4 linked regions of the Elephas maximus indicus genome follow. The main gene of each other region encodes a partner of the protein of the gene in region 3 in a complex. Links are inferred from orthologs where the notes say so. Each region holds a gene or a part of one and is shown on either strand. Other genes may lie near its edges.

What was found.
Region 1: NOD2 (region 3) and MAP2K3 share a complex: the UniProt entries of both Homo sapiens proteins name them as parts of the signaling complex. The link is inferred for Elephas maximus indicus from reciprocal best matches to the Homo sapiens genes NOD2 and MAP2K3.
Region 2: NOD2 (region 3) and PKN1 share a complex: the UniProt entries of both Homo sapiens proteins name them as parts of the signaling complex. The link is inferred for Elephas maximus indicus from reciprocal best matches to the Homo sapiens genes NOD2 and PKN1.
Region 4: NOD2 (region 3) and AKAP13 share a complex: the UniProt entries of both Homo sapiens proteins name them as parts of the signaling complex. The link is inferred for Elephas maximus indicus from reciprocal best matches to the Homo sapiens genes NOD2 and AKAP13.

Annotation. Positions count from the first base shown.
Region 1 is NC_064820.1:216,261,544-216,269,094, forward strand, and holds the start of MAP2K3 (dual specificity mitogen-activated protein kinase kinase 3), read right to left. Parts: upstream 3,001-7,551; 5' UTR 2,828-3,000; coding exon 2,779-2,827; intron 1-2,778. UniProt on the Homo sapiens protein: Dual specificity kinase. Is activated by cytokines and environmental stress in vivo. Catalyzes the concomitant phosphorylation of a threonine and a tyrosine residue in the MAP kinase p38.
Region 2 is NC_064821.1:33,038,745-33,045,822, reverse strand, and holds the start of PKN1 (serine/threonine-protein kinase N1), read right to left. Parts: upstream 3,020-7,078; 5' UTR 2,218-3,019; coding exon 2,179-2,217; intron 1,173-2,178; coding exon 869-1,172; intron 1-868. UniProt on the Homo sapiens protein: PKC-related serine/threonine-protein kinase involved in various processes such as regulation of the intermediate filaments of the actin cytoskeleton, cell migration, tumor cell invasion and transcription regulation.
Region 3 is NC_064839.1:17,194,092-17,201,262, reverse strand, and holds the start of NOD2 (nucleotide-binding oligomerization domain-containing protein 2), read right to left. Parts: upstream 3,008-7,171; 5' UTR 2,929-3,007; intron 1-2,928. UniProt on the Homo sapiens protein: Pattern recognition receptor (PRR) that detects bacterial peptidoglycan fragments and other danger signals and plays an important role in gastrointestinal immunity.
Region 4 is NC_064831.1:80,886,828-80,894,780, forward strand, and holds the start of AKAP13 (A-kinase anchor protein 13), read right to left. Parts: upstream 3,014-7,953; 5' UTR 2,779-3,013; intron 1-2,778. UniProt on the Homo sapiens protein: Scaffold protein that plays an important role in assembling signaling complexes downstream of several types of G protein-coupled receptors.

The sequences.
Region 1 (7,551 bases), on a different chromosome or scaffold from region 3:
CCGTGCTATGAAACGTGCCCCTGCACACTGTCCCGAGAGCCACCAGCCAGAAAGACAGCAATATGTGGGCAAGGAGGTCGGGGGACCTTCTGCATTCATGGAAAACCCTCCACCAGCAGGGCGCCGAGAGAATCTCAGTACAGGGAGGGTGAAACGGAAGCTCAAAGGTAAAGCTCTTTCAAGGTCAAATGCCAACCCCTCCCTGTTCTGTTCCAGCTCTTCTGAGAAAACTGAGAAGAGCTCAGTGCTAGGGGCCCTGTGCCCAGGATGTGAAGGGTACTGGGTCAGGACCCCAACCTTGTGGATTCAGTCCAGCATCTCCTACGTCTGGCCTCAGTTGTGTCATCTGTCAAATGAGTCAGACTGCAGTGAGTGTGCCATGTGCCAACTGTAAAGGGCTGTGCATGCATGCAAAGGCAAGGCCTCTGCCTCACTCTGTGCTCCACGTCTGGGACTGGCCAGGAGGAGATGCCCCCTGACACAGGGCTCAAGCATCCAGCATGAGAATGGGGTGTGGGGGCAAATGGGGGAGACCACACAGCAGACACACAGTCCTGGCTAGAATCCTGGCTCCAACCATCCTGGCTTGGGGACCTCAGGCAAGGCACTTAATGCCTCCAAACCTCAGTGTCCTTATCTGTAAAATGAGGTCGCAGGCTGAGAAGCATAAATGAGAGGGTGCATGGCACATGGAAAAGAGAAGGGGCACAACATCCTGTGCCAACCCCAAAAAGGCTGATGGGGGAGGCCCCTGACCTTCTGCCCAACCCTCCCACATCGCCTGTTCCCTGTATCCACAGATAGACCAACACCCTAGCCTCCCTGCAGAGGCCCAGAGAGGGCAGCGTCAGCCTCAAGTTACCCAGCAGGGTCCCTCCCCACCGGCCTTTGCCCATCACCCATGCCCCCTCTCCCTTCACAGCCCTGTAATTCTAACTTCTATTTTGATGAGGCACCCCTGCCTTGAATAGCTGAAAGTGCCTCCAAACACACATTGCTTCCGATAAGTTCCTCCAACCCAGGAGCGCACAGGCTAGCAAAACTCAGTGTGCCATGACAAAGCCAGCCCAGACCACGCTCCTGAGTGGGGAGTGTCCTGCTGACCGGCTCCCAAGCTCCATGAGGTCTGTGCAGAGCGTGCCCCTCCCCTGCCACCTCCCCCAGTGAGTGCCTCCCAAGTTACTCACCGCAGTTGGGCAATGGTCAGGGATCCAGCCTCCCACTTATGTAAGACATAATTACTCTGCCCACCCAGCTGGGCTCTGGCCCACAGCCATGGAAGCCACCAGCAGCAGGGCCAGGCAGGGCCACACCCGCCCCCGGACCCCACACAGCCTCCCACAGCCCGGGCCCCTCCAGCACTGATTAGGATACCACTAACTGCTCCTGTGACCTGCTTCACCCCACAGTTGCAATTCAAACAGAGGTACGTCCTTGACCCTGCATGGCTGAGGCCTTTCTAAAAATAAAAACTGCAACAATAGAAATACGCACAGCCCTGTCCCTTCCTGAGCACCTACTATGTGCTGGGCACTGCACTGAGCTCTTCACAACATTTTCCACCTCTTTACACGCACTGTCATATGTATATATCACCTCTCATCACAGCACCCGTGCCCCCTGCCACGTCTGTGGAAGGAAGGTGTGATTACCCTGGTTTTGACTGAGGCCCAGAGGCACTAAAAGGCCTGCTGGGGGAGGTGGCCCATTCATCACAACTATGTCCGGTTTGGAAATCTCTCACACGGCCCAGTCTGCTGAGATTCTGACACACCAAAACATCCTTTCCTCTTCCTGCAAAAAAATCCCCTTTTTGCCCTCCAGGCCCGTCCTCCCCCCTCTGCATGACAAATCCCGCCTGGCCGCCACCTCACAAAAATTTCCAGGAAGGCCTGCGACTTGGAAAAGACAGAGCAAGCCCCTTTCGAGGTAAGCACCCTGGTCTGGCAGCTGGCCCAGGACCCACGGGCCGCCAGGCGAAACAGGCCTGGCAGCAACCAGCCTGGTGCCTGGCAGTGAAGCCATGGGTCCAGTGTGGAGCCGGGCACATGAGGGTACAATAGGAGCAAGGAGAGGAAGGGCCGAACGTCAGAGGGGGTGGGGGCCTCAGAGTGGCCACAGATTAACGAGGAACCTAGAGTGGTTCCGGAACCAGCGTTGCAGGGTGGGGGGTGTAGGGCAGGGTGCAGAAGCATCTGGGGAGAAGCCCGGTGCAGCCAGCGAGGATGGGGCAATGTGGGGGCCCACAGGGACAGAGCCAGCCAGTGAAGGGGCCGTTCTGAGCTGAGGTGTAGCCAGCGTACCCGCCTGGGGTGGGGATGCAGCAAGGTCCCAGCAGGGGAACTCACTGAGGTCCAGATGGAGGGATCAAAGTTAAATACCAACCTGGACACAGCCAAGGGATCAGGTGGGAGCAGAGTGCGGCCCACCTGGGTCCCGCTAAGGACCCCGGCCTGGGAGTCCCCTGGTCAGGATGCAGCCCTAAGGCCCACTCTGCGGGTCAGAGAGAGTTCCCGATTCCCGACAGGAGAGGGGGTCAGAGTGCGGTCCCAGCCTCTGTCAGCCCCGGGAGCTCCCAGGCCTGCGTGCAGCCCCAAGGTCCACACTGGGGGTCAGAAGAGGTCCAGCCCAGCGTCGGATCCGGGACTGGACAGACTTGAGAACCTGAGGCGCTGTCGAGTTCCGGATGGGTGGGCCCCCAAGGAGGCCAGGGTTGCAGGCAGGCCCGGGCCCGGCCTGGGGGCGGGAATCCGACCGCGGGTCCCGGCTGGCTCCTACCTTTGGACTGGGGCGCGCTGGGGGGCTGGCTCGAGGCGGGCGACTCCATGGTGCAGGCGGGCCGGCGGCGCGGCGATGAGGCCTACTCGAGGGGGTGGCGGGCTCGGTCGGGGCCGCACGGACTCATGGCTGCGGGCGGGCGGGCAGGCGGCCCGGGCGCGACGGGGCAAACGGGCGGCGGTGGGAGGACGCGACCGCGGCGGGCGGCGCCGTAGCCAGACTGGGCAGAGCCTCAGGGGCCGAGCTAGACGGCGCCGAGACGCAGGCCCCGCCCCACGCGCCGTTTGGCCCTCCGTCTCCAGGCCGCGCTCCGCAGCCTATCAGACTCCAGGTTCGCCCCTGCCCGTCAAGCACAAGACCTCGCCCCCCCATTTGTTCAGCTGCAGACCCCGCCCACTGCCTGTCAAGCCCGCCCACCACCCGGGAAACGGGGCCGAGCCAGGCTCCGCCCCCTTCTTTCTAAAGCCGGGCCCCTGCCGTTGCTTGTCAAGAACCAAGCACCGCTCACTTCCCGCCGGGAACCTCCGAGCCCCGGCCTCAGGCTGTTCGGCATTAGGCCCTGCCTGGCGCGCTGATTGGCCACCAGTTTCCAAGGCGCGTCTCGGGACCCGTCAGACGCCAGGCCCCGCCCCGTCTATCAAGCAAGAGGCCTAGACCTCCGTTCACCCGGAATCAGGCCCCGCCCACTGCCTTTCAAGCCCGCCCTCCGCCCGGGAAACTAGGCCCCAGCCAGGCTCTGCTTTACTGGGTCCAGAGCCGGGACCCTCCCGCTCCCTGTCAAGAGCCAAGCCCCGCCCACCTCCCGGGAACCTGTCAGCCCGCGTGCAGCGCCCCCTCCCCAGCCTACCCAAGCGCGCCAGGTGCAGGGGCGCGACCTGGGGTGTGTTGTCTGGGAAAACCCTGAGATCTCGGAGCGCGGCCGGCCAACCCGGCCGGGGCCCAGCGCGGCGGCAGACAGGGTGTTGTGGAGAGGCTAAAGCGCGCCCCGATGAAACCTGTTTTACGTCCTGACTGCACCTTTCCAGCGGGGATTACCTGGGGTGACTCAGGCGATAACCCTGAGCCTCCGTTTCTCTCTCTGTAAAACAGTGCGACAGCAGCCCGTGCCACGGAGCTTTGCTCGCGAGGACGGAACAGGCGTCCGCAGGCGCTCAGGACGCATTTGTTTAGTGAATAGGAAGGGCTGCACGCGTCCACACACATGCACTCTCCTCCAGCCGGTATCAACGTGGGGTGTAGGGGTGCGGGGGGAGCGACACCGCGCTGGCTAAGAGGCAAGGAAAGTAGCTTTAACGGTTGCTGTCGTTACTACCCGACCCCTCTCCCGTTCTACACATGGGGAAACTGAGTATAAGGGAGTCGAGTGGCACCTCTCAATTCATTTTACTCAGTTCAGGGGCCCCGGTGGTCCAGTGGTCAAAGTTCTTAGCTGCTAACTGAAAGGTCATTGGTTCAAAGCCACCAACCCCTCCACAGGAGAAAGATGTGGCAGTCTGCTTCCGTAAAGATTTACAGCCTTGGAAACCTAATGGGGCAGTTCTACTCTGTTCTGTAGGGTCGGTATGAGCAGGAATCTACTCGAAAGCAATGGGTTTGGTTTTTTGGTTTGGGTTACTCAGTTCAGTAGGCCGTGACCAAGCTCTTATCCAGGCTTGCACTTTGGCCTGGTCCTCTCCCCTCCCCTCTTGGGGCCCTATCTGCTCATCTATAATGGCTGGTTGGATCTTCTCCCTTCTGCTCCCACTTGGAGCCTCAGGGGATTTCAGGCCCCACCAACCAAGCTGGCACTGGCATCCAGTGCCCAGAATGAAAAGCCACAGGCTAGAGAGGCAGGAAGGCCCTGCAGAAGTTAAAGGAGTCAGTCATTGCCCTGGGCAGGCATGGGTGTGGGCTTGCCTGATGGGGGTCTCCTGTGACTCCAGCAGACAGGTCTGCTGAAAACACTTGGAGCAGGGGGCTGACCTCTGCTTGCCCTTCTGTAAAACAGAGGCGACCCCACAGGGCCCCACCCACACCAGTGGGGAGGGCCAGATGAGATAAGGAAGGATGTGAAGCAGCCTTATAATTATCATTATTCTCTTCCTGCATCTCTGGCTCACTGTCTTAGTTATCTACTGATGCTATAACAAAAATACCTCAAATGGACGGTTTTAACAAACAGAATTTTGTTCTCTCAAAGTCTAGGGGGATAGAAGCCTGAATTCAAGGCCCAGGCTCCCGGGGAAGACTTTCTCTCTCCGCGGGTTCTGGGGGAAGGTCCTTGTCATCACTCTTCCCTGGTCTAGGAGATTCTCAGCCCAAGGACCCCAGGTCCAAAGGACATGTTCTGCTCCATCGCTTCTTTCTTGGTGGCAGGAGGTCCCTCTCTTCTTTGCTCACTTTTCTTTTATATCTCAAAAGAGATCAACTCAAGATACAACCTTCAATTGAGGCCTGCCTCATTAACATAACTGCCTCTAATCCTGCCTCATTAATATCACAGAGGTAGGATTTACAACACATTACATCAGATCACAAAATGGTGGACAGCCACACAATACTAGGAATCATGGCTAGCAAATCGACAGACATTCTGGGGGGACACGATTTAACCCATAACATACGCTTTCCAGGCAATGGGATGGAAAATTTTGATCTTTGGACTCAGGCACAGGTTCAATTCCCAACTCCAGATGTTGGACAAGTCACTGAACAGCTCCACACCTCAGCTTACTTACCTGTCCCACAGGGACAGTAAGATCTCCCTGAAGTCATGCTTGAAAGTGTCTGGCACAGGGCCTGGCACACACTAACTGCCCAGGAAAGGTAAGCTCAAGGACACACTGTGAGCCACCTCCTACAGGAAGCCATCCAGGCTGTTCCACTCTGGGTGCTCAGGGAAGAAAGAGGCCTGGAGCATTCTATTTCAAATGGGCCACTTGAGCTAGTCATTTCACCTCAAGAACATACCAATACAGATTCTGGCTCAGGGCCTTTGCTTGCTGTCCCCTCTGCCTGGTGCATCTTTCCCCCATGATTCCCTCAGTTCTCCCCAGCAGCCTCCCCAGTCATGGCCTGACATCATTGTTTGTTCTCTGCCCAGCACCCACCCTGCCAATGCCAGTCTTCTTCACTGTTTTTTAATCTGGCTCACTCCCTTACAGCATCCGCCTCTCCTGAGCAAAAATGTTGCCCACCCCACTCCCTGCTGCATTCCTGAGCCATAGCCCAGGGTGGCACATAGTGGGTGCCTCATAAGTATTTGAGAAATGAGCAAAGCAAGAAAGGAAAGAATACCACAGCCATCCATGGAGTGACTCCAGTCCAATGCAGGCCTCCCGGGCACCCAAGGAGTTTATGGATTAGTCAGGGAGCCTGACAAACAGCCTAAGAATCACAAAACCTGATGTGGGATGCTATAAATAGACACATGAGCATGAGGCCAAGGAAGGTGCCAGAACTCTACCTGGAGTGAGGTCAGAGAGGGCTTCTCAGAGGAGGTGACTTTAAGACTGAACTCTTAATGGCCAAACAGGAGTTCACCAGGCAGAGAAGCAAGAAAGCAAGGCTGGGAGGAGCAGTAGAGGCAAAGGCTAGGGGTATGACTGGGCTACACGTGGGGCCAAAACATGGTGAGGGCCAGACTGGCATGCAAATCTGAGTTGGGTGGAGGGGGAGGCACCCCACTGCAGAAACCACAGACCTTCTTATTCTCTTGCTGGCTGGTTGTAGCAATATCTGTGGACCTCCTCTGCCTCTTCATGGTCCAGTCAGGCTGGGGCACCTCATGACCCCTTAGAACCAGAAGGGACATTTGACATGGGCCACCACCACAAGCCTCTTACCCTGACTCCCAAAAGAAAAGTTCTAAGTACTCCTCTCTGGCGAGACAGGGACACTGAAGCTCAGAATGGGATGGGGTGTGAGCTGAGGTAGGCAGGACCTGGGAATCAAGGAAGGAGAAAGAATGGTTCAGACCCACCGTCATGGATTGAATTGTGTCCCTCAAAAATATCTGTCAACTTTGTTAGGCCATGATTCCCAGTATTGTGTGATTGTCCACCATTTTGTCGTTTGATGAAATTTTCCTATATGTTGCAAATCCTATCACTATGATGGATTAGCGGCAGTTATATTGATGATATCTACAAGATTAGATAGTGTTTTAAGCCAATCTCTTTTGAGATATAAGAGACAGAGGCAAGCAGAGGGACAGAGGGACCACATACCACCAAGAAAGCAGTGCTAGGAGCAGAGCCTGTCCTTTGGACCTGAGGTTCCCACGTGGAGAAGCTCCTAGACCAAGGGAAGATTGATGACACGGACTTTTCTCCAGACTCAAAAGAGAGAGAAAACTTTCCCCTGGAGCTGGCACCCTGAATTTGGACTTGTAGCTACTAGGCTGTGAGAGAATAAATATCTCTTTGTTAAAGCCATCCACTTGTGGTATTTCTGTGACAGCAGCACTAGATGACTAAGACATCCAGGATTGGGTAGTTCGTTCACTCATTCAACAACTCGTTATAGAGAATTTACTGTGTACCTGGCAGGGAGGGCACAGTATTGAACAAGACAGACACAGCTCCTTGCTCTTGGGGAGGGGACACAAGGTGGATGTTATGGATTGAATTAAAAAATGTCCCCCAAAAATGTGCATCGACTTGCATAGGCCATGATTCCCAGTATTGTGTGATTATCCACCATTTTGTTATCTGATATGACTTTCCTATGTGTTGTAAATCCTACCTCTATGATGTTAATGAAGCAGCATTAGAGGCAATTATATTAATGAGG
Region 2 (7,078 bases), on a different chromosome or scaffold from region 3:
GTGAATCTCTGGGTATTTATGCAACAGAATGTAAGTTTCTGGGTGTTGTCTAGGTGTTGCTGAGATTGCGTGTGTCTCTAGATACTGATGTGACGTGATGTGATGTATGTGAGTCTTTGTGTGTCACTGGGTGTTGGTGAGACTGTGTGTGAGAGTCTTTAGACATTGATGTGACGTGTGTGAGAGTTTTCAAGTGTTGTCTGGGTGTTGGTGAGATTGCGTGTGTCTCTAGATACTGATGTGATGTGATGTGATGTGTGTGAGTCTTTGGGTGTCACTGGGTGTTGGTGAGACTGTGTGTGAGTCTTCAGACATTGACGTGACGTGTGTGAGAGTTTTCGGGTGTTGTCCAGGTGTTGGTGTGGCAGGATGCAGGAGTCTCTGAGTGTTCATGTGACAGTGGATAAGTTTTTGGGTGCTGGCTGGTGTTGGTGAGGCCATGTGTGTGAATCTCTGGAGGCTGGTGTGACCGTGCGTGAAAGTCTCTGTGTATTCACGTGACAGTATAAAGCCTTTGGGGTGTCATCCAGGTGTTGGTGTGACTAAGTGCATGAGTGTCAGGGTGTTGGTGTGACAGCAGGTACATCTCTGGGTGCCGTCTGGTTGTTGGAATGACTGTGTGAGACCGGGTGTTGACAGCATGTACGTCTGGTTGTCGATGTGAGTCTTTGGGTGTCAGGTGGCTATGTGGACTTCGCTCTTTGCTATGACTGTGTTTGGAGACTCAGAGTTGCTGTGACAGAGTCTGTCTCTCTGAGGCCAGTGGAGATGGTATTGAACCTCTCGTGCAGGCCTGGCTGCGAGGGCAGTGGGGGCACACCTGGGTAGTGGGAGCCCCTGGAGTCCTGCATCCCCAGCCCCGGCTCACCACGGGCAGCAGTCGCAGGGTCGGGCAGCACCACGTGGGCGTGCAGCTCCTGCAGCTGCTGGTGCAGCAGGTCGAGGCGGCGCGAGGAGCCACGCAGCAGCAGCTCCACGGGGCCCAGGTTGCGACCTAGGTCAGTGGTGGCCCGCCTCAGGTTCTCCGCACCCTCCTTCAGCTTCAGCTCCTTGCGGATCTCTCGCCGCAGCCGCTCACGCTCTAGCTCCAGCTGCTGCTGCACCCCAGGGGCTGCCAGGTCCGCCCCTGCCAGGCCCAGCTGTTCCAGCAGGGACCAGTTGCGCGACTCACTCTGCAGGATGCAACAGGGTCAGTGGGGGATGGCTCTGGGATGCAGACCACCTTAGCCAACCTGGGCCCAGCCTCCTTAGGTACCCCCAAAGACAGAGCCTGCTCTACCTCCTCAGAGCCCCAAAACTGGGAGGTGAGAGCAGGGCCCTGTCCCTGCTTTCAACTCCCTCAAACTGTGAGGGCCCAGGGCAGGGCCTGCTCCCTTCCCCCATCCCTACAGACTAGGGGTCCCCAAGGGACAATCTTGTCTCTCTTTATCTATTCCTCATGCGGTGGGATTCTGGGAAGCAGACCCCACTGCCCCACTACTGTCCCCCCAAACTAGGGGGTCTCGAAAGTAGGCACTATTTCCCCTCTGCTGTCCCCCAAAGTAGGAAGTCCCAATAAGTGACCCCATCTCCTTTCTACTGTTCCACCCCAAATCAGAAAATCCCTAGGACAGGTCTTGTGGCCCTACTGCTATCCCCCATAAAGTAGGAGGCCGTGAAGGTAGCTCCCATCTCTCATCTGTCCTCCCCCTAAACTAGGAAGTCCTGATTACAGACTCCATCTCCTCTCTGCTGTTCCCACAAACTAGGAGGTCTCGAAGGTAAGCCCCAATTTTCTCTGCTGTCCTCCCAAACTAGGAGGTCTCAAGGGAAGACCCTGCCTACCCTCTGCTGTCTCCTCCAAACCAGGAGGTCCTGAGGTGAGGCTCGGTCTTCCCTCCCATTTCCCTACACAGGAGGTCTCAAAGGTAGACCACTGCCCCTCCGCTGCCCTCCAAACTAGGAGTTCCGGAGCAGAGGCCCCGCCTCCTTCCTCCTCTACCCCACAAACCTGGGAGCCCCAAAGGGCCGTAAATATTTCCTTCCTTCAAACTGAGAGCTCTGAGGCCAGGGCCCCATCTCCTTTCCTTGGTCTAAAAGTAAGAGGTGTGGAGGGCAAGGGCGCCATCTCTCACACACCCTAGCCTGTCCCATTTGGGGTCCTCTACCACCAGCCCACCACAGGTACCCGGCCCCCACCTCCAGCTCCTGGTCCAAAGGGGGACAGGGCTCCGCCATCCTGGGTCCAGGGTGAGGGCCCCGCCCTCTTCCTGAGCCTCAGCCCTGCCAGGGCCTCTCACCACCACTTCCTCTTTCCTGCCACCTCCCAGCACCCCCCGCGGCCGGCCAGCTCTGGGGCTCTGGGGCATCCAGGGGAGCTTCCCCTTAGCCCCACTCCAGGGTCAAGCCTGCTTCCCAGAGGCAACCAGGGGACTGTGCTCACTCCCTGTCCTGTGAAGGTGCCCAAGGTACACGGGTGTGCACTTCACTGTGTACATGGCAAACAGGCTTCCACAAGTGTATGCAGGCTCCAGGGACTGACTTGGATGTGTACATGCTCTCATATACCTACAGGTGTGCTCAAAAACACAGGCACACTCCCATGCCTATGGGTGTACACGTAGAACACAAGCTCCACGCATGTGTGCACACTCCCATGCCTATGGATGTGCACACAGAACACAGGCTCACACGTGTGCATACTCCAGTGCCTATGGGTGTACAGAAGGAACACAGGCTGAGTGCACATGTACATATCTACATGTCTGTGCACACAGCACAGACTCACAAGTGTGTGCACACTCCCACGCCTATGGCTGTGTGCACATAGAACACAGGCTCACACGTGTGCACTCTCCCACACCTGTGAGTGTGTTCATGGAACACAGGTTTCACAAGTGTGTGCACATTCTCACACCTACTCACATTTACACCTGCATGCACACACCTATGAGTGTGTACAGGAGTCACTGCAGAACCTGGACATACACACTTTCATCTGCCCGTGTGGACAAGCCTACACCCTCACACATGTACACATGCTCCCCACAGCCCCACAACCTGCCCACACTCCCAAGGGCCTGCAGCCCTGCTGACGGCTCCACGTGTCCCTCTGGCCAGGCCCCCCTGTCCCGCCCCCTGTCCCCGACTTCCCCTTTGGGGTTGGTACAGCAATTTCTGCAGAGGCGGGGCCCCTTCCTGCAGGCATAGGCTGTCTAACTTCCTGCTTCCTCCCAGTCCAGCTGCCCATTGCTGCTGACCACAGCTCTGAGGTCTGGGGACCCAGCCAGCCCAGTGCGTCTCCCTGAGACCAACACATTGTGGGGGACAGCACCGAGGGGTTAGGATAAGGAACAAAACCAGCAGCCCACAGACACTTGCTAACCACGCACTAATGCTCAGATACAACTATTAACCATAGTAGTTACTAGAAGCTCCACCCAGGTCAACTAATGCAACTCCTCGAGGTAGGCACTATTTTCACCACATCATCTAGATGAGGAATTAGGCCCAGAGGGTGCCGTAACTTGCCCCAAGGTCCCTCAGCCAGCAGGAGGCAGGCCAGGATTTTAAAAGGAACATCCAGTATCTGAGCACTGGCTAAGTGCTGCACCTGTGTTATCTCCCTCCACTCTGAGAACCCATTTCACAGATGAGGAAAGTCATCACTAGCTGCTGCTCAAACTCAAGGCCAGCTGCTCCCAAGAGAGGGTTTGCTGCAGGCCAAGACCACCCCTCGCAATAACCCTGAGTAGCTGCTATCATCCTCCCACTTTACAGGTGAGGAAACAGGCTTAGAGAGGTAAGAGCAGTTCTCAAGCAGGGGCAACTTCACCCCACCACCAGGGACACCTGGCAATGTCCAGAGATGTTTCTGGTTGTTACAACCAAGGGGTACACTACTGGCATCCAGTGGCTTGAGGCCAGGGATGCTGTTCAATATCCTATAACGCCCAAGACAGTCCCCCACAGCAAAGAACGATCCAGCCCCAAGCATTAAGAGGGCCGAGACTGAGAAAGCCTGGGTTAAATGACAGAGACTCAACCCCAGACCATCACTGCTCCTCAGTAGCTATCTGACAGCAGCCCCATCTGCCATGAGTGGCCCCGTATCTGTCTCTCTCCTCTGCAAACACCTTTTTTAGCCCATTTTTATAATGACAGAACGGAGGATGGAGGTTCAGAAAGGCAAAGGCACTGTGGCCAGGGCACACAGGAAGTGACAGCACTCACATACCCCCTCCCAACCAGGCCAGCCCCACACCCTCCCCAGCAGGCAGAGCAGGGGTACAGCCAGGAGCGAGGCCAGCTTAAATTGGGGAAGTCCAGGCAGAGAGGAGGAGTGCTGCTCTGGGCCCACCTCTGGCCACTGAGCCCTGAGAATAGGGAGGGAGGGCAGGAGGCCCAGCCTCCTGGGCCCTCCTCTCTGGGGTGACTCACTCCTACCCAGGGACGAGGGGTCACCTGAGGGCCAAGAAGGCAAACCCAGGACACAGGGGCCTGACCTGGCCTCAAAGAATCCCTGCTCCCCCTCACCCTGAAGCAGGAGGCTCCAAGCCGAGGGCACCCACTTCCCAGAACCCCCTCTCCCCAGAGCAGTCTGGGACCTAGACCCCCTTGTCTGGAGATTTCAATGCCTTGGGAGTTTCCGGAATCTGCACAGGACATCCGTTTGCCGGACACAGAATAGACAGGCACACATCGGGGAAGACAGAGGGACAGGGCAGCAGCCCAGGCAGCCACAAGAATGGAATTGTGGGGGGCGGGGGCAGAAAGCGGGGGAGCCAGGCACAGGTGGAGCCTCGTGGCAGGAATCACAGCCTTCATCTGGGTCATGTGTGGTACATGTCAAGCGCATGCACGCGCGGGGGAGGGGGGCTCCTATACAGCCCTCCTGGGCCGGGGGTGGAGGCAGGGACCTCGGCCCACCCCACCCCAAGGTCTGACCTTGTGTGATCGGCAACACCAGATACGCCCAGCTCCTCGGCAAGGCTGGCAGGCCATCAGCAGGACTGGGGGGGGGGGTATCATAGGGGATCATGGGGAGACACAGAGGGAATGGGGCAGGTGCAAAAGGAGATGAAAACCTGTTACACAGAGACCACAGGACAACCGACTGCATGGTGAGATGCTAAAGGGGCCTCTAGGCACAGGACATGTCTCAGACTTGGATCACTGAGCCAAAGAAAGTCGGAGATCAACCTGGCCCTACTTGTCCCAGAGGTGGAAGGTGAGTCCAAGGCAGTGATATCCTCAAGGTGGCACAGGGAGGCCAGGGGAGACCCTGGCTGGCAGCTTGGTGCCAGTCATGAGTGTGTGTATGTGTATACAGGGTGAACCTGCCCTGATGCCAACGGACGGCAGGTAGAATCCCAAATCCTGGAGCACTCCCTGTTGACCCGACACAGCCCACCTGGGTAAGGTCCCACCCCGCAGCCGGTACCCCGGAGATTAGGCTTGAGGGTCCCCCGTCCCCCCGACCTAATTAGGTGACTCGGGCATTTCTGCCAACAGGTGCCAATCTGGGTGGCGTCGGGACCATCGTAAATCTCAGTCCGGAGGCAGGGCCGCTGGAGCTTTGTTGTGCGGGGGAGGGGGAGGGGCCGGGCGGTGTCCTCCCTCCCCGGGCATCGCGCCAGCCACCTGCCCCAGGTGGAGAGCTGCATCTCCCGGGAACTGATCGCTGCGGAGGGGGAAGATGGGGGCCGACAGGTACCGGGACGCACAGCCAACCAACCACCCGAAGTCGCGCCTCCACCGCGCCCGCTCGGGTCCTCGGGGCCGGGCCGAGCTTGGGGTGCAGCGGGGCTCCTGGTCCTCCCTAACCCTCCCAGTCCGTACCTCCACCTGCAGAGAAGGGGGCCGCGCTGGCTCCGGGGTCCCGGCCCAGGGAAGGGGCACCGGGCGCTCGGAGGCCCCGCCCTGCCGTACCACTTTGGGGGCCCCGGCAGCCGCGGGCGGGGGTCCTGGCGCCGTCCGGCCGCCCCACCGCTGCCGACGCAGGTGCGCCTACCTGCACGGCGTCGCTGGCCATGTCCTCGCGCCGCCCGCCAGGGGTCCCCGCGGAGGGAGGGGCCGGCGGAGGAGCGCGCGTGCGCCCGGGCGGGGCTCGGAGGGGCTGCGCGGCGCGACCCTGGGCGCGCGGCCCGCTCCGGCCTGCTCGGCTCCGGCCTGCCCGGCCAGGCCGCCGCGTCCGCGCGCCGCGCCCTCGGGCCCAGCGGCCGGCCGCGTCACGTGACCGCCGAGGTCGGCGCCCGGGGAGGGGGCGGGGCGAGGGGGCGCGGCTCCCGGCGGCCCCTGGGGCTGTGGGGTCCAGCGTCTGCGCCCCCCTGACCGTCCCTCCCACGCTGGCCCTGCCGCCGGGTCCCGCGCTGAAGCGCGCGGGAACTTCCTCACCCTGCCTGAAGCAAAGGGCGAGCCGCTTCCAGCCGGGAGGGCCCTTTGGGCCTCCGGGGATCCCCTCGAAACCCAAAAAATAACAATAACAACTAACCTAACCCCTCCGTTTGCAAACTCAGGCCTCCTGGACCCATTCTGCTGAAGAGTCTGCCATTCAAGGGCACGGGAGCTTCCCCACTGCCCGAAGACAATCACGGTTCTGGACAGATCTGGGTTCAAATCCCTAAGGCTCAAGGACGACCCACACCCCTAAGGCGCCACATCTGAGGCATGGAAAGGGTTTACCCACTTCTGGGATTTGGTAAAATAAAGAGATAGTGCATGTCAAGTGCTGAGAACACAGTAAGCACTCAATAAATGTTAGCTGCTGTCATTTTTAATATTATTAGAAGGGGTTCGAATCTCAACTCAGCTGCTGACTCTAGGCCCTGTCGACCCTGTGGCCGCTGGGCCTTAGTTTCTCCCTGTAAAATGTGGACAAACCTCTTCTTGGGGGCCGGCTGTGAAGATTGATGGGGTCTGCAAGGAACCCCATATGCAGGTGGCGCTCCATAAATACGGGCTCTACCCTTGGGGAGAGCCGAGACCTCAGGGGAATTTCTCCAAGGTCCCCAGGATCCGGGCTCTGGGCTCCAGGCTTCGGGCCAGGAGCACTCCCTGGCGGTGGGTCCTGCATGCGGTCGGCGTCCTCCCGGGACCT
Region 3 (7,171 bases):
AGTCTCCTTAGCTGGATGCTAAAGTCCGGGAGAGTTGTGAATTTGTAATCTCTTCTCCAGGTATCACTGTCTCTCTAAGTGAGCTCACCTGATCTTATAGCTTTAAATATCAGCTACATGGTGATGGGAGCCCTGATGGTGCAGTGGTTAAGAGCTTGGCTGCTAACCAAAAGGTCAACAGTTTGAATCCACCAGCTGCTCCTTGGGAACCCTACGGGGCAGTTCTACTCTGTCCTATAGGATCACTATGAGTTGGAATTCACTCGATGGCAATGGGTTTGGTTGGGTTTTCATGATGATGGGCCTGGTGGTGCAGTGGGTAAGCACTCGGCTGCAGTTCGAATCCACCAGCCAGCTTTGGAAACCCTATGGGGCAGTTCTGCTCATTCGTATAGAGTCGCTGTGAGTCGGAATCAACTTGACGGCAACAGGTTTGGTTTATATGGTGATATGAGTTCCTGGGTAGTGCAAACAATTAAGTGCTTGTCTGTAAACAGGAAGATTGGTGGTTTGAGTCAACTGAGATGTGCCTCAGAAGAAAGGCCTGGTGGCCTTCCAAACAGTCACTGAAAACCCTGTGGAGCACAGTTCTACTCGGACACACACAGGGTCACCATGAGTCAGTCTACTCAACAGCAAGTGGTTGGGGTTTATATAGTAATGATGCCCCAAATTTTATTTCCCGACTGCCTGCTAGACATCTTCAGATAGATGTCTAATCAGTATCTCAAATTCTAAAAATACAAACCAGATTCCTGATCTCCCTCTAAAGAGCTCCTGCCACCAGCTTCCCCATCTGTTGATGGCAGCTCCAAACTTCCAGGTACTTCAAGCCAAAAACCTCGGCATCTTCCTTGACTGCACCCTTTCTCTCACACCCCATATCCTATTAACCCTAATGTCAAAAGAGATCCCAAATCTGAAAATCTGGTAATTTCTCACCACTGCTATGCTGCACCCTAAGCTCCATGGCCTCGCCTCTGAATAGCAGCTGGGGTCGCCTCGCTGGTCTTCCCCTCTGCCCTCACCGCCCTGGTCTATCCTCCCCCCCACAGCCAGGTAAACCAGCTAAACCCTAAGTTAGAGCAGCTGCCTCCCTGCTCCAGTGGCCTCCGTCATATTCAGGGTACAAAGCAACACCCTTACAGTGACCTTCCAGCCTTACACATTGGACGCCCCCTCTCCCAACCCTCTTGAACTTATTTCCTACTAATCCCCCTCCCCCACTCTGCTCCAGCCAGCCACACACACTGGCCTCCTTATTTCTAGAACAAGCCAGGCTTGCTCCCTCCCATCATGCTTCTGCCTCAGGGCCTTTGCACATGCCCTCCCTCCCCCCAGAGATCCACAGAGCTCACCCCTCACCTTCTCCAAGGCTTTGCTCAGTGGCCACTGTCTTGAAGAGGCCTTCCCCAACTACGCTATCTAAAACTGCAATATCCAAGCCCAGCACCTCCTGACCCTCTTTCCTGCTTTGTTTTCTCCGTAGGACTTCTCACCACCTGACACACTATGTATGGACTTATTTGATCGTTGCCTGACACACTCCTGGAATGTGAACTCCGCGAGGAACGGGGAGTTTTGTCTGTGTGCTTCATTGCTATATCCCCCATGTCTCATTCAGTGCATCAATAAGGATTTTTTGAATGAATGGGTGACTTTACTTTGCAAGGTTCCAGGAGGCACAGGTGGGACCCAGGTGGAAGCCGCACCCTGCAGATTTTGGCTAAATGTCAGGAGAGCCGCAGGACTCAGAAAAGGCACCTTGTAAGTAGGGAGCTCCCCGCCACCGGCATGTGCCACAGAGGCTGGGCCAGCACTCAGCTGGGATTCTGCACTTGGTGGGCGGGGCTGGAGGCCACAGTGAGCTAAGGTCCTTTCTGCCTCAGATCCCAATACACCAAGAGGCAAAGGGGCCTTGAGTGACCAGCAAACCAGCAGAGTGATAGGAGAAGGGTCGTGGGAGTGCCTCTCCAGTCTCTTTCACCAAGGGCCAAGTTAGGGGTACAGTAGCGGTGCTGGGGAAGGCTTTTGCCCTCTGTGCAACAAGGACCTTGGAGGAGGCTAGGCCACAGCCCATGGGGAGACAGAAGCTTTGGGCAGGGAGATGTCACAGGGCTGGGAGACAGCAAGAGAGGCAAGGGCAGACTCAGAGCCAGGGGTCCAGCTGCCAGCCCTCCTCCAGCTAAGGGAGACCCTCCCCAGGGGAGCTGGGGAGGCTTTTTTAGTTTGTGGGAAAGCTGGTAGGACCGGATGGCTGCTCCACCAACACAGCGGCAGAGGGGAGGGCATATGGCAGAGGGGAGGGCTCTGGACAAGCCTGGAGTGGGCCTGTCTGGGCAGGGGTGGGGGATGAACTGGGGTCTCACACCCACGGAAGGGGGTGGGGCAGAGGACGCAGGGACTCTTACGAGAACTAAAGAGCCCAAGGAGGTGTTAGGGAGCAGCTAGGCAGACTCACAAACACTCACAGGCTTGGTAAAGTTGGGGAAACTGAGGCCCAGAAAGAGGAAAGGACTGGGCAAAGAGTGGCCCCCACTGAGACCTGAAGCTGTTTCTGATTCCCATACCCAAGCGGGGCCCTGTGCCTCTGGCCTTCACATCCTCCCGCCCACCAACCACGCGACTCCCCAAGTCAGCTGGTCCCCTAATCTCAAAGGTTCCTGGGGGCTCTCGGACGTCCTCTGTAGCCGCAGACCGCCTGGGGGCTCCCCGCCCTGGAGACGCCTCCTTTCCTTCCGCCCCCCATCTACTCCTCAGAGCTCACCAAGGGGAAACCGAGGCAGCCCCTCTACAAACCCAAAGGCTGGGACGGCTCTGGAGCCAGGTGTCAGACTCGGGAGGCGGGATCCTCGGCGCCCACCGTCTCCCCGCCGCCCAGGTGTTGGGCGCAGGTGCGCAGGTAGCGCGCCCTGAGCCAGCACTCACCGCAAAGCCGCCGGTGCCCGGTTCCTCGACCCCGGCCTGGGCCACGATTCCGGCTTCGGTTCGGGCTCAGGCTGCGCGGGCGCCCGGCTCCGCCCCTGCGCTCCCCACTCCGCCCTCCTCGGCCCGAGCGGGCCGCACCCCCTGGGAGTGCCCGCCTCCCCGCCGGCAGGAGCTCACCTAGGCTGGGTGACTGACACCGGCTGGGAGAGCCGGCCAGCGTGTATCTCTCTTCCGTCACATTTGAACTAGGAGACGGACGAGGGAGTCTTGGAACACCCCTCCAACGCGCGCGCACCCACACACATACACAGTCTCACAAATGCAGTCACACACACACTCTCCCCCCACACAGAAACACACTGTCCCACACACTCGCTTACACACTCTTACAAACACATAGTCACACACACTCGCCCACACACACTGCCTCTCTCTGTCTCTCACACACACACACACACACACACACACACACACGGTGGTATCCTGTGAAATGAAAAGCTGTTGGTGTCAGTATTAATCAGTGCACCTTCAGGCAGTCAGTAAGTCCAAAAGAAAGAAGAGTCAGTAAGTCCACAGCCATCTAAAGCCTTAAAATTGCAAAGCTCAGTTCCCTGAACAGCGTTTCCGGAGTGTGATGGGTTACATGTTAGGTGACCCTGAGCCAGGCATGACATAGAAAGGAGTCATGTGACGGTGAAGTTCCTCTTTTTTCATTTTTCTTTCCATCTTTCTGTTTAAGTCCAGGAGAGACATCTCCGTTTAGTGCTCCTTGTCTAACACTGTCTAGTCTCCTCCACTGGCCACAATATCTGACTAGAATTTGATACCGCGGATTTGTTTTCATTAACTGTTTCTCAGAGCAAGTGACCTGGTTTTCCACTTAAGGTATTAATATAAAAGTTCCTTTAAAAACACGTGCATTTGCCCGGCTACCACCCGTGACCATCCTGACAGGGAACACAACAGAGAGTCCCTGACGGAGCAAGAGAAAAGTGGATGCAGAACTCAAGTTCTAGTAAAAAGAACAGACTTAATGGTCTGATTGAGACTGGAGGGACCCCAGAAGACATGGCCCCAGGACTTTCTGATAGCCCCAAACTAAAATCACTCCAGAAGCCAACTCTTCAGACAAAGATTAGACTGGACTATAAGACATAAAATGATATCTGTGAAGTGCATGCTTCTTAGCTCAAATACTTACATGAGACTAAGTGGGCAGTTCCTGTCTGGAGGCGAGATGAGAAAGCAGAAATGGACAGGAGCTGACTGAATAGACACGGGAAATACAGGGTGGGAAAGAGGAGTATGATGGCACATTACAGGGAGAGCAACTAGGGTCACATAACAATGTATGTATAAATTTTGTATGAGAAACTAACTTGAACTGTAAACTTTCATTTAAAGCACAATTAAAAAAAACATGCATTTGGATTTGTAAAAAATGTGAAGTCGATTTAAAGAAATATAATGGAGACAACTAATTTTACAGAGTGTTTACTAGGTGCCAGGCTTTAGTACAAGTATTTATGTATTATATGAATACATAGTTGTTGTTTTAGGCACTGTCTAGTCGGTTCCAACTCATAGCGACCCTACATACAACCAAACGAAGCACTGCCCGGTCCTGTGCCATCCTCACAATCGTTGTTATGCTTGAGCCCATTGTTGCAGCCACTGTGTCAATCCATCTGGTTGAGGGCCTTCCTCTTTTTCGCTGACCCTCTACTTTACCAAGCATGATGTCCTTCTCCAGGGGATGGTCCGTACTGATAACATGTCCAAAGTATGTGAGACGAAGTCTCTCCACCCTTGCTTCTGAGGAGCATTCTGGCTGTACTTCTTCCAAGACAACCATTAGGGAAAAGTAAATCAAAACCACAACGAAATACTACTTGCCCCACTAAGATGACTATAATCAAAAAGGCAGGTAATAGCAAGTGTTGGCGAGGATGTGGAGAAATTGAAACCCTTCTGTGTTGCTGGTGGGAATGTAAAATGGTACAGCTGCTGTACAAAACAGTTTAGCAATTCCTCAAAAAGTCGAATACAGAGTTCCCGTACAACTGAGAGATTCACTCCTAAGTGTATACTCAAGGGAATTAAATACATGTTCACTCAAAAACTTGTACAGGAATGTTCATAGCAGAATTATACTTAATATCAGAAAGTTGGAAACAACTCAAATCTCCATCAACTGATGAATGGATAAACAAAAGGTGGTATATCCATACAGTGGAATACTATTCAGCCATAAAAAAGGAATGAAGTACTGATACACACTACAACATGGATGAACCTTGAAAACATTAAAAGAAAAAAAAAATTTTTTTTTTCTTACACTGAGTAAAAGATACCAGACACATAAGGCCACATATTCTATGTTTCCACTTATATTAAATGTCCAGGTTAGGCAAATCCATAGAGACAGAAAATAGATTAGTGGTTGCCAGAAGATGAGGGTAGTGAGAGTAGGGGGTGACAGCTAATGGGTACAGGGCTTCTTTTTCATGTGATGAAAATATTCTGCAGGTAGTTAATGGTGATGGTTTCACAACCTTGTGGATCCACTAAAAACCACTGAATCGTACGCTTTGAAAAGGTGAACTTTATGGCATATGAATTCTAGCTCCATAAAAAAAGTGGGTTGTCCACCAGGATCAAAGGAGAATGAAAAACACCAAGGTCACAAGATAACCATGAGCCCAAGAGACAGAAACGGCCACATGAACCAGAGACTTACATCATCCTGAGACCAGAAGAACTAGATGGTGCCCGGCCACAACCGATGACTGCCCTGACAGGGAGCACAACAGAGAACCCCTGAAGGAGCAGGAGATCAGTGGGATGCAGACCCCAAATTCTCATAAAAAGACCAGACTTAATGGTCTGACTGAGACTGGAGGAATCCCGGCAGCCAAGGTCCCCAGACCTTCTGTTGGCACAGGACAGGAACCATTCCCGAAGACAACTCATCAGACATGGAAGGGACTGGTCAGCGGGTGGGAGAGAGATGCTGATGAAGAGTGAGCTACTTGTATCAGGTGGACACTTGAGACTGTGTTGGCATCTCCTGTCTGGAGGGGAGATAGGAGGGTAGAGAGGGTTAGAAACTGGAAAAATTGTCACGAAAGGAGAGACTGGAAGGGCTGACTCATTAGGGGGAGATCTCGTAAGTGGGAGTATGGAGTAAGGTGTATATAAGCTTATATGTGACAAACTGACTTGGTTTGTAAACGTTCACTTAAAGCTCAATAAAAATTATTAAAAAAAAAAAAAGTGGGTTGTAAAGTGTTTCGTGTAGTATGCTCCTATTATGTTATCTGTAACATAAACCTATTAATATATGCATTGAAAAATCCAAAAGATTATCCTTTCAAATTCATGGTTGGGTTGTAAGTGGATTTTTTAGCTTTTTATTGTTGTTGTTAACCTGTATTTTATGCTTAACCTGTGTATAGGCATACACCGTTATTGTTGTTGTTGTTAGTTGCTATTGAGTCAATGCTGGCTCACAGCGACCCCATTTGTGCAGAGTAGAACTGCTCCATAGGGTTTTCAAGGCTGTGACCTTTTGGAAGCAGTTCACCTGGCCTGTCTTCCAAGGCAACTCTGGGTGGGTTCAAACTGCCGACATTTCTGCTAGTTGAGCACTTAACTGTTTGTGCCACCCAGCGCCTCCAAGCATGTGTTACTTGCAAAATAATAATCTTCAGAAAGCTTTCTCTTCAATGAGCTAAGGAGCATCTCCCTGGCTGCAGAGCCCTATCCTAGAGATGGCAATTGGGATCCTAGTGACTTTTCTGCCCACAGGTTCTCTGTCCTGGGTACCGGGGGGACAAAGCCTCCGGGCCTGGGCCTTTCCTCTTCTAGGGAAATCTTCTAGGTTGTGACATTTAAAACTCTCCGGGGCGGGGTGGGGGGAAGGTTGGCAGAGGAGCAGGTTTGCCGGCTACCTGTGCACGAGAGCTGCCCCCAGGAGCCAGGACTGTTTCCAGCAGACCCAGGCCCAGAGCCAGCTGCTGCCAACCCAGAAGGTGACCCCAGGCTTGCACTAGGTGACTGTCTCTCTGCCGGTCTCCTGTTCCAGGCAGCCCAGAACAGGCCCCTCCCCACCCACCAGAGTCCAAACTCCTGTACAACCAGGCCCAAATGAGTGAATTTGGGGATGATCTTCCCACTACCCACTCTCAGCCACACCAGCTTCCTTACGGCTCTTGGTATCCCTACCTCTGTGCTTCTACTT
Region 4 (7,953 bases), on a different chromosome or scaffold from region 3:
CTTCAAGAATGCTTTTAAGTCATGTAAAAATGTATCAAAATTATTACAACTACCAAACCAAAAACCCACCGCCATCAAGTTGTTTCCAACTCATAATGACCCTATCCAAGTAATACATACACACTTATTGCCATGGAGTGAATTCCAACTCAGGGCAACACCATGTGTTACAGAGCTGTGCTGCACAGGGTTTTTATGGCTGTGATCTTTCGGAATCAGATCACCAGGCCTTTCTCCCAAGGTGCCTTCTGGCTAGCAGCCAAGCAGTTTGCTCCACCCAAGGTCTCGGCACCTACTAAATGCTGGATACTGTACTAAGTACCTCACATAGTTTCACTTATTCCTAAGAACACTGCAAAGTATGTTACTATCCTTACAGAGCAGGAAACTGAAGCTCTGAGAAGTGACATACTCAAGGTGACACTCAACGAGTCAATGGAAGTGTGGGGATTTGAATTCAAATCTACCTAGCTCCAAAGAATGTGCTTTCTTATAAATTGTTCTACCTCCAATTTCGCATTGGAGAATTGGGCAGTGATGTGAACGGATGTGTTCAGTGGTCTTAATAATTTCACCAAGAAGAGGGAAAAAAATTCTAAATCGGGATCACCTTTTGAAATCCACAGTGCATTATTTAAACCCCACTTCTTGCCAAGAGACAATCAGCAGATAAAAAAAAAAAAGTTTAGAAGTCCTTTTAATGTAAACTAAACTTCATCACAAGTGAACTACCACTTTGGACAAGTCCCCGGGGGTTAGTGGCTCTCTCCTGTGTGCACTTCCAGCACACTGCACACCACCGCCAGCTCGTAAAAAAGCACCTCACCCAGTTCACAGGCATACTCAACACTAGTACTGTCGGACTCCTGGCAAAGAGGATACAAAGCTTTTTAAATAAGGCCCATCACAGCCCTTATGGAGTTAACAGACTAGCCAAGGAGCCCATTTACACTTACATGTACAGTTACCACTTAGTCAAACAAACGAAGTGTGAGAAATCCCAAAGCAAAAGTATGTATAACATGCTATCAGAGCCCAGAGGAGGGAAGCAACCAGCCTACTTGTCATCTTATGCTGGAAGGAGTGTTTGTTTACATTAAGTCCCTCCTTGACAACCCCTTCCAACCTGTCAATCCAGGATCCCACGCCCCCACACACGAACACTCACACAATCGTAGAGTAGGAATTGTCGCTCCTAAATGTGACTTTGCTGTAGTTTAAAAGTATTAATGCCATAAGATAATTTTTCTTTAGCTTCATCAGATGAAGAAGATTGGTTTCTCAAAGCAAAATGAGGCCAAGCAAACCTGAAAAATCCAAGAACACTTCTCCACACTGCCCACTTATCATGAGAAATCAAGGCAAACTAACATACACGGTATTTCTCAAATTGTCTTTTTAACTTATCAGATGCTCAAGAGACGATACAACAACTGAAATTGAGACACTTCCACTGCGAATTTCACAGGCATTTAAGCTAATTCCATCTAGGGCATTAAAACATAATTATTTGTATAAGCCAAATGAGAAAAATTCGGTGGAGTCCATGTACCCAAAACTAGACATCAAGGCTTGTACTTAATGCGATCTGCAAATCCCCAAGAGACCACGGAGTGCAAGAACAGTGATTTATCTCAGCCGATCATTACGCCTTTACAAACTTGCAAAAAATGACCTTTCAAGAACTGCAGCATTTGTTCTGATCTGGGCAATCCAACAGTTTAGAAAAACTGAATAAGCTGCTGCTTCTAAAAATAAGGGAGGAGGGGGAAGCATACAGCTTTTAACTTTAGTTATAAATGCCTAAGGCAATAAACTCGCACAGTAAGGAGTATAAAAGCTAAAAATGAACACCAAAATATTACTCAATCTAACTTTCATGGTGAATTCCTGAGTTCACAGTAAGGTCTAGAAACTTAAATGCAGTGGAACTGATCTGTTTAAATAATTAAAAGAAAAAAAACTATTTTTTTATTTAATAAAAAAACTGTTTTCTTAGTATTTTTCAACTCCTCACCAACTGGAAGGCTTTGCAAAACAAAAAGTGTCAGCGAGCCATATTTACATAATAAAAATGTTTTCTTCGGGCTCAAAGTAGGGCTGTGCTCTAGCCTGGAGGAAAGGCGAGCCCGTCGCACGCTCCCCGGCCGCTGCCGTCACCGACGCGCGCGGGTCGGGCCGAGCGCCCCGAGGGCCCCCCCACACCCCCAGGCGGGCGCAGCGCAGGGCGCGAGCGCGGCCCGACGTGTTTACTCTCCGTGCGCCCCGGGGAGCCGCTCCCCTCCCGCCGGGAGCACTTGTTCGCGGCGTCGCTGGCGACCCCGGGGTAGCCCGGCCTCCGTCGGACCGGCGCGATCCACCGAGCGACCGCATGGGTGCCGGGGCTCCTCGCGCTCCCTGCCCCGGCGGCGCCGGCCCGGAACGCCCGGGGGCTCGAGGCTCAGGCCTCGCGGCGGGGCCCAGGGGCGCCCGAGAGGCATCGGCGACCGTACTGGGCCCCAAAGCGGGGCCGCGGGGTGAGGAGGCGCGCCTCGGCCCGGGAGCAGACAATGCGGGAGGAGAGGGGCTGCGCAGGGAGGAGGGGTCGGCGGGGCCGGGCCGCTGCCCGCACCGCCCATTCATCCCTCCAGCCGGCCCAGCCCTCCGCCCCCGGCCCCCGCCCCCCTCCCGGCCCCCGCCCCGAGCCAAGCCGCAGGGGAGGGGCCCTCGCTCCTCGCCGGGACCACTCCTCAAATCACGAAAGTTCCCTCAACTCGGCCAACTCAGTTGCGCTCTCACCGTGCGGCGCCCGGGGCTCCCCCGAGGGCCGAGCCGGAGCAGCTCCGCACCTTCGCCGCGGAGAAAGACAATAGGTGGCTGCTCCCCCGGCGGCGGCGGCGGCTGAGGCGGCGGCAGCCGAGGCGAGAAACGAGCACGGCGGTCCCGGCGGCGCCCAGACGCTTCACCGCGGCTCCTCCGGCTCTGAGCTGGCCCCGCACACAGCCCCTGACCGCCGGCGCATGCGCTACAAGCCGCCCGGAATGGGCGGAGACCTGGGGAGGACGGCACCGCCTACAAGCCCTCCTGGGCCGCCGGGGAGCGCGGAACCGAAGGCCTCAACTGGGATTACACGGCAGAGGTGCCCATCATAGTCCGTGCGACCAATAGGAAGGCGCCTGGGCGGTGCGCTCAGGTTGCTAAGGCAAGCTGAGGTTGACTGCCGCTGCTGAGCCGCGGCGGCAAAGTCATCAAAGTAGTGAGGCTGGCAGAGGCTGCCTGGGAAATGCCCACGCACCACATCTCTGAAAAAGCTCCCCGCCCTGTCTCCGGAAACCGCCCTTCCTCTGTGCGCCCGATGCTTACCTGAGCTGTAGCGCTTAGCACACAAACCGAAATGATTTACCCTTCAACCTCCCCCCGCCCTTGAAATCAGGAAGTGCGGTTTAGTCTTCTGTGTCCAGCGCTCAGGAGAGTCATGGCTAGGTGTGCAGCCAGGCTTGTCTGGATGGATGGATGGATGGACGGACGGAGGGACGGACGGCGGTGTGATGGTGTCACAACTGTGACAGTGAACTTTTGGCAACTCCATCCCACAAATTCATACAGTCTTCAAGTTTGAAAGGACCGCAGAAATCATCTGGTGCTTTTGAAAAGCTACAATCGGTGTACCAGTGGTAGTCTAGGAGACAATAAGTTGGTACGCGAAGAAACTTCTTTATTTTGATAGGTATGTGTTTATTTTGATGTGCTTTGGGGGGCGGGGGGATATGCCGAGCACGTCGAACCATTATTTCACTGTTATTATTTCTTAGGTAGGAGCCCTAGTGGTGCAATCGTTAAGGGCACGGCTGCTAGCCAAAAGGTTGGCGGTTTGAACCCTGCAGCGGCTCCGTTCTTGGGGAAAAAAAGACCTGGCGATTTGCTCCTATAAAGATTACAGCCTAGGAAACCCTATGGGGCAATTCTACTCCGTCATATAGGGTCGCTGTGAGTCGGAATTAATTCAGCAGCATACGTTTCTTGGTCAAGTGGCCCAAAACCAAACCATTTCCTTCCAGTCAATATATTTTCTTGGTTCACGATCACATAGTGGTAAAAACAAGGCCAAACATCCCCAGTGTCCTAGTCTCCTAAAAAGTAAGGGGCTATCCTAGAAAATCACTTGGACCCTAACTTTTAATAATCTCAAAGCCTTCTCTTAGAGCCTGGCTGGTCTGATTCGGAGGTGGCAGCAGCAGATGGTTACCATGTCGTCTTTCTTGTGACTGCTGACACCATTCCCTGTTTCCTTACCCCACCCCAGCAGGATTTACACCTTTCCAGTGGGCTACAGAAAGGGTTGAGAGGCCGACACTTTTCAAAGTTTACTATGCCTATGGAACACCTGGGAGATTTTGGTAAATGTGAATTCTGACTCCGTAGGTCTGAGGTGGGCTCTGGGATTCTGCTTTTCTAACAAGCTCACAGGGGTACTGATGTTGCTGGTATGCGACCTCACTTTGAGAAGCAAGAGTCTACTCTAAATTCCCCAGACCACTGAGCTCTCTGTCTTTTGGCGGGAAGTCTGAATAGTTATTTGCATGACTGGAACTTTCTCATCATTCAGGCCTCAGCTTAAAGGTCTTCCTCAGAGAAACCTTCCTTGACCACCCTGTAAAAAAGAACCCACTCAATGAAGTTCAGATACATGCCACAGTATGGGTAACCCTGGAAAACATTATGCTGAGCAAAATAAGTCAGTCACAAAAGGACAAATACTGTATAATCTCACTTATATTAAATAACCAAAAAAAAAGTTGCCATGGAATTCCAATTCACAGTGTCCCTAAAGGACAGGGTAGAACTGCTACATAGGGTTTCCAAAGCTATAAATCTTTACAGAAGCAGACTGCTACATCTTTCTCTCATGGAAGCATATATAGAAACCAAAAACTATTAGTGGTTCCCAGGGATGGGAGGGAGGGGGCAAGAGGGAATTTTTGCTTGGGAGGCAGTAAGTTTTCATTAATGGTGGTAAAATAATTTGGAAAAGGGTAGTGAGATTGGTTATACAACTTGAGGAATGTAATCAATGTCACCGAATTATACTTGTAGAAATTGTTACATTGGTATATATTTGGCTACGTATATTTTCATCACAATAAAAAGAAGAAAAAAAAGTAGCCCATTCATACCTAATTCCTCTCTTTATTTTGCCCAATTTTTTCATAGCATTTATCCCAATATGAAAGTATCTTATTTATCTTGTGTGTTTATTTGCTGGCCTGGGCTCCACTATAATGTAAGTATAACGTAAGCTCCCTAAAGTCTGTTTTTTATCCTCTCTCTCTATAGGGTCGCTATGAGTCGGAATCAACTTGACGGCAATGGGTTTTTTTTTTTTTTTGGTTCTCTCTCTCTCGTACCTACAGCAGTAGGAACTCAATGAAAGTTTTGCATGAATGAATTAGTACAGAAAGAGCTACTGTGAGGTGTCCTCAAACTGAATGTTCCTGACACTAAAGATTTGTTCTTCCAAGTTGCACCAAGGATCTCTAAACAGCTCCATTTCACCAGAAAGATTTCAGATTTATCATTTTCCATGAGTAAACAATTCTACCACTTTCCATGAGTAAGCTTATAAGCCAGGAAAGATACCAGGGCCTAAGAAGCATGGCAAGATTTTTTGTCTCTGAACTGTCTCTCTAGTTGACTTATATCTAATTGATCTGCCTGGTTTATAATACTTAAAAATGTAACAGGGTTACACCCCATTTTACAGAGTACCTAAAAATGCCAGTGTACAAAAAAAAAAAAAACAACAGTTATGAGAACATGCATTTTCTTTGGACCCATGTTTTATAACATGTCCACTTTTATGAAAGAAAAGGCACTGAGAACAAACAACATTTTATTGCTTTTGTGGTAGAACTAGTACCCTGATGTTGCTTTGTGGGAACTTTTACCTTCAGCCCCTGCTTGGTATTAGGCAAACTTCACTACAGCCCCAATTCCATGGCCTTAGCACGTGATCAGATCGGAGTACATCAGAGCATTCTACCTGTAGGCCACTTCTACTTCAGAGGTGGGCACGTGACCCCAAACAGGCCAATCAGGAGCAATAGGAATAAATTGTATTCTCTGTTTAAACTATTAAGGTAGCAGACTTTGTCTTCTTCAGTGGAACCTGGGAGGATATGCTTGTCAGCCAGCTTGTCATTTTGAGGAAATAACCTCTCTGGGAATGGAGCCATCACAGTGGGAAGGTGAGAGAGATGAAAAAAAAAAACATCTTGGTGACAATGGTTGAACTGCTAAATCTAGCCATACCTAAAGATAAAACAATACATAGACTTTTCAACTATGTAAGGCAATAAAACCAGGCAGAGTAGATGTTACAGTCACTTACATCCACAAGAGCCCTAATTAATATGCCATCCATGAGCTGATGATCCCTGGTTAATTCCCTTACCTGCTTCTCAAGTCATTCAGCAAATAGCCCTTGAAAGTGTACTGTGTGCCAGGCGTGAGGCTTGGTCCCGGGGTTGAAGATGAAGAACAAGGTTCTGCCCTCAATGAGCTCACAGTCAAGTGAGGGAAATAGACAAGTAAACCAGCAAGAAATCAAATGTGTTAATGCTCTTAAAGACGCAAGCACAGAGTGCTGGGAGCATAGAGGAGGAGCACTTTTGCCTAGAAAGAAGGTAAAAGGTCAGGGAAGGCATCCTGGAGGATGTAACAGCTAAGCTGAGTCTTAGCAGACAATCACATTAAACCAAGTAAAGGAGAGTGGGATAGTAGAGGGGACTTGGGAGTGTTTGCACAAGTAGCACATTCCCAGAAACAGGAAGAGCAAATTTAAAGACATGGAGGTATCAGAAACTCAGCAGAAGAAATTGGAGAGGGGAAGGGGTAGGAGGTAACACTGGGGGAGGGTAGCAGCTACCAGGTCATGAAGGGCATAGCATACTGCCCTGCTGAGTAGTACAGCCTTTATTCTGAGAGGCCAGGGGGAGCCCTCAAAAGGTTTTAAGCAATGGGACAACAATGAGAACAGATTTTCATCTTACGAAGATCACACTCTCACCGTATGCTTCACCAAAACCAAACCTGTTGCTGTAGTTTGCTGTGGAGTCAATGTCAACTCATGGCGACTCCATGTGTTTCGGAGTAGAATTGTACTCCATGAGGTTTTCAAGGACTGTGAACTTTCAAAATCAGATCACCAGGCCTTTCTTCCAAGGTACCTCTGTGTAGATTCAAACCACCAACCTTTCAGTTAGTAGCCAATTACTTAACTGTTTGTACCACCCAGGGACTCCTACCATGTGCTTAGGGGGCACTGAAGTGAGGCAAGAGAGTGGGGCCTAGAGGCAAGGTACGAGGGAGTCTCTGAGAGAATCCTGACTACAAGCGGAAAGTTTCACAGTGTAGATTAAGTTTTCACTTCTTGGGTAGCAAAGGGAACCTTCTTCTCTCAATGTCAAGCCCAACGCTGTCCAATAGAAATATGATGTGAGCCACATAATTTAAAATTTTCTAGTAGCCACATTTAAAAAGTAAGAGGAGACAGGTGAAATTAATTTTAATAATATTTTCTATCCCAAATATTATAATTTCAACATGTAATCAGTGTAAGCCTTTATTAGTGAGACATTTTATACTCTTTTTATCATACTGTCTTCAAAATAACTCAATGTATATTTTATACTTACGACACATCTCGAATCAAACTAGCTGCATTTCAAGTGCTCAAAAGTCACCTGTGACTGGTGGCTACTGTACCGGAAAGGTCGGGTCTGGTTAGTAGATTCTGGGGATTCGTTCCAAACCTCAACATGTACCCAGGGCTGTAATCCCTGTACTCTACCTCTGTCACTTGCATGACCTCATTTATTCCTCATACCAACCCTCAAAAAAAATCTGTTGCTAACAAGTTGACACTGTTCTCCCCTTTGACAAGTAATACAGGCTTAAACCAAAAAAAACCAAACC